Linked DNA regions of Cricetulus griseus. The protein of the gene in region 1 purifies or fractionates together with the protein of each later gene. This does not show direct contact. Links are inferred from orthologs where the notes say so. Each region holds a gene or a part of one and is shown on either strand. Other genes may lie near its edges. The genes, in order: Copb1 and Copg2.

Evidence for each region.
Region 2: the proteins of Copb1 (region 1) and Copg2 purify together in Homo sapiens (affinity purification with western blotting; 4 studies listed by BioGRID and IntAct, with this or other methods). This does not show direct contact. The link is inferred for Cricetulus griseus from reciprocal best matches to the Homo sapiens genes COPB1 and COPG2.

Annotation. Positions count from the first base shown.
Region 1 is NC_048596.1:86,412,759-86,416,580, reverse strand, and holds part of Copb1 (coatomer subunit beta), read right to left. Parts: intron 2,550-3,822; coding exon 2,320-2,549; intron 1,483-2,319; coding exon 1,313-1,482; intron 1-1,312. UniProt on the Homo sapiens protein: The coatomer is a cytosolic protein complex that binds to dilysine motifs and reversibly associates with Golgi non-clathrin-coated vesicles, which further mediate biosynthetic protein transport from the ER, via the Golgi up to the trans Golgi network.
Region 2 is NW_023276806.1:197,046,490-197,050,311, reverse strand, and holds part of Copg2 (coatomer subunit gamma-2), read right to left. Parts: coding exon 3,798-3,822; intron 2,914-3,797; coding exon 2,788-2,913; intron 2,259-2,787; coding exon 2,196-2,258; intron 1,736-2,195; coding exon 1,596-1,735; intron 972-1,595; coding exon 800-971; intron 1-799. UniProt on the Homo sapiens protein: The coatomer is a cytosolic protein complex that binds to dilysine motifs and reversibly associates with Golgi non-clathrin-coated vesicles, which further mediate biosynthetic protein transport from the ER, via the Golgi up to the trans Golgi network.

The DNA.
Region 1 (3,822 bases):
AGAATTCAATTACATTATCAACAAAATACCACTGTCAACAGATAGCATAACATTAAGATAAATGTAATTGTGTTTCAGTCAAGTAATATAGTAAAGTACAAAGATACTTATAAAAACATTTCAGGGGCTGAAGATGTAACTTTGATGGTAAAGTACATGTAAACCTAAGTTACATCCCAAGAACCAATGCAAAAAAACCAACCCACAAACAAATAAAACCCTAAGCTGGGCGTGATGGCAAATGCCTTTAATCTCAGCACTCTATGAGGCAAAGGAAGGCAGAGTTCTGTGAGTTTGAAGCCAGCTAGGTCCACAAAGGGAGTTCCAGGATAGCCAAGGTGTTAACACACAAAGGGAGGAAGGGAGCGAGGGAGGAAAAAAAGTCAGGCTTGATGATGTGTACTCTGAGAACATGACTAACAAAAAGATATCTGCGGCTCTCTGGTGAGCCAGCCTAGACTATGTGGTGAGTTCTTAGCCACTGAGAGACCTTGTGTCAAAGTTAAAGGTTGATGGTGCCTGAGAAACAGTACCTAATGTAGTTCTCTAGCCTGAACATACATAGATGCTTATACAAACATGCAGGTGCACACACATGCACAGACACAAAATATATGATATATACTGTATGTTAAACTGGCAGTACTAGGAATCCAACCCAGGACCACCCTCACTCATTCTAGGCAAGGACTCTGCTTCTGAGCTCTACCACCAGCCCCATAACTTACACGGACTGAGAGCCATGACTATAACAATTTAGCACTTTAGCCTCCTCTGAATCTTACAATTGTTTTAAAGTTCAAAATCTCCAGCTTTATTATTTTACTCTAATGACTGTTTCAAGGCCTTGTTCCTGCTAAATAAACACTCACTCACTGAGGCATGTCCCCAACCTTTTCTATTTGTAGAGACTCATTAAGTTGCCCAGACTGGCCTCAGACTCTCATCCTCCTGACTCAGGCTCCCTGCACCACTCGTCCAGACTAAATTTTCAACTGTTATAATAACAAGAATTAGTTAAGAACTGCAGCCTTTTTCATTAAAAGAGTTCCTTCCTCAAAGCTTCTAATACAAGACCCATACTGTTCAAAATTAGAATTTTAAAACAAGGTAAAAAAATGCAATGCCTTTAGCAAGTAAAGATATATGAACTAAATGAACTGCAACAACACAATTAGGAATGATGGTCACTGTAGGGAACACCCTAACCATGCATCATTTACAAGTACATACATTCTGCAACCAACCACGCTGGAACCTCTAGTCTAAAGCATTTAAAATAGAAATAAAGCAAAGGAATATCTTTCCTTACCTGTAGATAGTGTAGATTGCTAGAACAGCGTTTCTCCTAACATAGCTGTGACGATGTTCTAAACAAGCACGGATAGCGGGCATTAAAGGTTCTAACAATTCTGCTTCCTTCAATTTGCAAAGGAAACGAAGAGTTGATCCTCGAATAAACTCATTAGGATGCTGAAGATCCTGATATAAAAATTACAGTAGGAAACATTGAGTTTCAGCTTTAAAAACCCTTACATTTAATTATTTATTTGTGTGTGTGTGTGTGTGTGTGTGTGTGTGTGTGTGTGTGTGTGTGTGTGTGTGTGTATTTGAAAACTCTGCAGAGGTCAAAGGACAACTTGCAAGAATACATTCTCTCCTTGCACCTTGTGGGTCCTGGGGACCACACTTGGGTTATCAGGCTTGGCAGCAAGTACTTTACTTGATGAGCCATCTCATAAGCCTAAGAGTCAGCCTTTTATAAAAATCAAGATTTAAACATAATACTTTCTAATTTGAAAAAATTAAAGTTACTTTTAGGGAAAAGATCTAGATTACTGGTTTTCTTCTGATTCCTCTAAAGTCATTTTTATGTATTTCACCATTTTTTTTAATAACACAGAAAATATAGGAAAAGGCAACAATACAAAATGTTTATCATAAATTTTACAGGTGTATCCAATCTTTTAACATTACAATAAAACTGTCATCTAAAAGTTCATACTGAGACTAACTCAATAGTTATGTTAACTATTGAGAAAAATAAAAACCAAGAAAAATAAAACCAAATAAAACCCCCAGCCCTAAATCCACCAAAAAGAATCAAATAGCATGTTAGGTTTTTATGTTGAGCAGCATTCACAGCTATCCCCACCTCATGCAGCCTAAACCTATTGCCATAGGCTGAACACACTTCAATAATAAATATTTACAATTTCTCATCACATCAAAGATCTCATTTTTGAAAGCTAAAAAAGTATCTATTAGAGCAATTTTATAACTACAAAAATAACAAAGCACAGTTATGATTTGGCTTACTTTTCTATACGCATCACACACAAGAATCATCTCATGTAAAAGTCTTCCATCTGGAGTTGTTTTAGGAACAATTTCCCAGAACACAAGAAGCAACTTTTTGATGGTGTGATCCTGGAGTGGCAGCACAAAACGGATGATAGTCATCAGGAGTCCAGGGAGCTTCTCACCATTCAGAATCATAATGATTACTTTCTTCAAAGCTTCAGTCTTGGACTTCACATCACCTTTCTCTGATTCAATCATTTAAAAAAACAAAAAAAGCATAATTATTTCAAAACCAAGTTCCTCGGATAGTTTAAAAAGGCTATGAGCAAAACAAACTAAATTTACTATCAGCTTTGGTAATAAGGTTACAAATCCAAATGAAATGTTTGAATATTTTGTCTCTGAATCTCAGATGCCTTACACAGGATTTGAGGGTACTAGATTAGTCTTCTGGTCCCTGACCAATTTAGTTAATGTGGTTCCTGAACCTATATTGCTAAACCACATGACTTTAACAGATGTGTCCCCCACCAATACCAAAAAACAAAAAAACCAAAGTAAATCCTTTAAACTCAAAATAACACATTTTATGTGCATTTTCTCAGTTATAGCCATTTTTTAAAAAGGGTAGCATGAACAGAGTGACCTTTATTAAAATTTTTAAAAGGGTCCTCAATATTCATGTAACTTTAGACACTTTCTTTTCTTGTCCATCTGAACAACTGAATAAAAACTAAAATGTTGAATCAGTAGCCACCGATTAGAATTTAGGATATATTATTTATAATAAAAAGGAAGTTTAACCAAGGATAAAAATTATTCACTATAAAATATTTTATGGAACTAGGTGGTGGTGGCACATGCCTTTAATCCCAGCACTTGGGAGGCAGAGGCAGGCGGATCTCTGAGTTCGATGCCAGCCTGGTCTACAAAGAGTTATAAGACAGGACTACACAGAAAAACCCTGTCTCAAGAAAACAAACAGAACAAATTTTTTTTGATATTTTATGAAAAGAAATCTATAATTTTAAGTATTATGAATACTGGGAAATTAATGGTATTAAAAATCTTCTGGGTCTGGGGGAGAAGGAATGGGGGTGAGGGGAGGGAGAGGGAGAGGGGAATTACATGTGAAACAAGCCTGTTCCCTAACTTGAATTAATAATAATAATAATAATAGTAATAGTAATAATAATAATAATAATAATAATAAAGAGAAAAAAAAAGAAATGAGGGAGGAAAGCCAAAAAAAAAAATCTTCTGGGTCTAAAATTCAAAGGCAGATAGAAGTACAGAATAAGTACAATGCTACCATAATTGTTTCTATCATAAAATCAGAGCTGGACAAATGGCTTAGCAGTTAGGAGCACTGGCTGCTCTTCCAGAGGAGCTGGGTTTGAGTCTGACACCCTCTTCTGATCTCTGAAGACAAAACACTAATACATATAAAATAAATTAAAAATAAACAAATCAAATATTTGAAAGAAGAGAGGACAAAGAGAAGACGTAATCCTATGG
Region 2 (3,822 bases), on another chromosome or scaffold:
GCTCTCTTTTAGACCCCTTATACTACCTCCCCACCAAGACTGAACATAGGTCAAGCAAATGATAAAGCATTTCTCAATATGGACACAAAATGGTCAACTAAATTACTTACTAAGCTGAAACATTGTAGACCACAGTCTTACACTACAAGATGGTTAAAATAATGTATTGAAATGCCAACCAATCTGCTAAATAGCCAAGTTTTCCCAGGAACCCTGGAAAGAAATATCAGGTATTAGAACCTTCACTCATGGTTACATTGTTTCAATAGAAACCCTGAGTTCACGCTGGCTTTTTGGAGTCCTCCCATATGGTCGATGCCTTCCTCAGCCTCAATGCAAGGGGCTTGGTTCTGCTTCAATTGAATGTGCTAGGTTTTATTGATTCCCAATGGGAGGCCTTACCCTTTCTGAGTAGATCGTGGACAGGCTGGAGTGAGGGAGAGGGAGAGTGGGAAGAGGGGCGGGAGGGGGAACTGTGGTTGGTATGTAAAATGAAAAATGAAAACAAAACAACAACCCCCCCCCCAAAAAAAATAACCCCTGAATTCTTTTTGAGGCTGTCACTAAATACATTCAGTTTCTCTTTTACCATTATCATTAGCAAGTTTTTCTCACAGATTTAGTTTTGAAAGTAGTATTTCTACAATAGTAACCAATTTTATAAACATACCCTACCCGCACAACATTAAGTTCTGGAAAGAACCATATTCTTGAATGTTCAATACTTGGCTAGACATTCTAAGAGCTCCAGAGCTGGTTTTTAGACCACAAAGTATCTTCTCCCTTCTGAAGTCAGTACCTGCTGTAGGATCCTCATCCGGCAAGCGAACAAGTGTGTAGCACATCCCCGGCTGATTGTAAGGGAGGCTGGGGGCTGGGACGTAGCACAGTACTTCATAGGAGTCGGACGGTTCCATCTGCACCGTTACCTTCTCCAGCAGCTGGTCATTCAGAGTGTTGGTACAGTCAAACTGAAAAGTTAGCAACAGAAAAGTTGTAAAGATTAAGAAATACTTTCCAGTGAGTTGTTTCTCTCACTCATAGTCCACAATTCAGTTCTGGAATCTACTGTATTCAACACTATAAATAACACTGTAAATCTCCTAAGATTTTATTTTCTTCTTTTGGTATTAGGGATTGAACCCAGGCCTCATACCTCCCCTTAGACTGCCTCTTTGAAACACAGACTAGTGTTGGACCACCCTGTTTCTCTCCCTGATACTGTCACTACAGAGTGTTAGAAATCTGACGACTCTCAAATCTAAGTTCTTTGAACAACCCACTTAGTTTACCTTGTTTAAATGCTGATTTTTAAAATAGTTGAATTACATATTGTTCATTTCTTGAGACATTCAATTTTATATTCTTTTAAATTATAGTTATCAAGAATAGCCCATCATCAGAAGAAACCTCTATACTTCTGGGAAAAAACAGAAAAACAAAAAACAAACAAACAAACAAAAAACTAGAACTACTACTAAATTAACCCTTTATGAAAGGAACTAGAATCATAAACTAAAGGAAAGTGCTATTTGACTCGAGTATACCAGCTTATATATAAAGACATAGGAAGAACCAAGAGTTCTTTCTCTCACCTGGAACACAATGTGGTCAGTAAACACGTGCTTGATACATCGCACGAAGTACTCTGTCTCTGCCTCCGTGAGCTGAACAGGCTCAGAAGACTTGAACAAGGGCCCCAGACTCATAAACTCAGGAATGGCAGCCAACTGTTCTATTAAGCACAAAGAGAAAGAAAAGTAGAAGCACAGTATGAGGAAGACAGGAAGGGACTTTATTAAAATGCTTTAGTTACCACAGAGCAGAAAGACAATTTCATTTCTATGGCCTTACTAATAACTGAACACTCAACCAGTGGTCTCTAAACTTCTGTGAAATAAGCCTTTAAGTTATCAAGTTTATAGACTAGGTTTCTATACGTAGGGGGAGGGGACAAACTAAATTGCTAATTTCTTTCCCTCTTAACCACAAAATATGCACAAGAACAACACTTCCAGGTAGTAAATTAGTCACTGAAAAGTCCATGGACACCAGGTAATTCCAGCCACTATAACCTATGACATGAGAAATTTACTGAACTGAGAATTAATCAAATTGAATAAAGGTAGTAGATGTTATTAATTCATAATACCTAGGGATTATAAAGATTATTACTTGTACTCATAAAAACATACCTTGGAAAATATCTTGTCTGGAAGGAGCCAACTTCTCTGGCTTAGAAGTCACAAGCGTGATTTCTACAAAGACAGATGTAAGCAATCAAGTGAGTTTCTCTCCACAGAAGGAGATGAAGGCAGTAACTTTTACCAGATACACAGTGGCAAACAGATTCAAGTAGTGTGACATTTTGTATTAAATAACTTAAAACAAACAAACAAACAAAAAAAACCTTTTCATCTTGGGACATTTTCTTATTCTTGCTTTTAGGTAAAACGCCAAGGGTCTCAAAATTCTAAATTTAAACAATTTCATCTTAGTACTAAAAGATCACCAATTGTGCACACCTTAAATCCCAGCACTTGGAAAGCAAAGGCAGTTGGATCTCTGTGAGTTTGAGACTAGCCTGGACTATACAGTGAATTTCAGGGAAGGGCTACTATGTAGAGAGATCCTGTCTCAAAAAACAAACAAGCAAAAATTTAAAAAATGAAAGAGAGAAACTATGCTATTTTTAAAAGCTTTTTCTAGGTTTCTTTTTTGTTTTGTTTTGTTTTTTATAAATTACTTACACACAGAAAAACTAACAGAGTTAAACAGTTATGTTACCTGACTTCTGTTCAAAGACAGGAGCCATAGCGAGAGGAATGGACTTCAAGTCAAAGGGTTTTTCTGAAGGCTCTAGTGTATACTGGTGCAAGGCCTTTTCCATCCCTGGTATAGAGACTGTCAGACCTATAAATAGGAAAAGCTCAGCATTATAACCTCTTATCAAAGCTTTCTGAAGGAAGAGAAACATGTATCAAAAGATTATAACAAACAGCTTCAAGTATTAAGAATGATTAAGAATGATTAAGAAAAACTTTTCATCTTGGGACATTTTCTTATTGTTACTTTCAGGTAAAACCCAAGAGAGTTAAAATCCTAAATTTAAGCAATGTCATTAATTGTATTACTAAAAGATCTCAAACAACGCTTTCACAGAGGTCACCTAAGACCATTGGAAAACACAAATATTTACATTACAATTCATAACTAGCAAAATTACAGTTATGAAGTAACAATGAAAATAATTTTATGGTTGGGGCTCACCACCACATGAGGAACTGTATTAAAGGGTCAGAGCATTAGGAAGGTTGAGAAGCACTGCTCTAGCCCAAGTAATCAAATTAAAGATTACTATATAAAACTGCCTTATACACTTATAAGCTGCCTTATTTTTTTCATGGAAACATGGGAGCAGAACATTAAAAAAGTCAACAAAATGCAAGCATCTCTCAGAAAATCAAATATTTTAGCTATATGGGAACAAGAAAAGCAGAAGAAAACAAAACTGGAGAGAATCATGTAAGAGGGAACCTAAGAAGAACTAGAGATAAGCAATATTCTTTTGGACCCTTTTATACTTTAAAAAATACATATTATTTCATAGGAACTGCTATTACCAAATTAGAAAATACCTCCATGAATATACGTTTCCCTAGAAATGGAATTTCATTCAAAGATTAAAACCATGCAACTGCCTAAAGGAGTCAGCTAATATGTGAATCACCATAAAATAGGTTTGACCATTTGAACAGAAGTGCTATGTCATGTCTCCATAACACTAAGGCACTAACCGTTGAAGATATATGTAGCATTCAG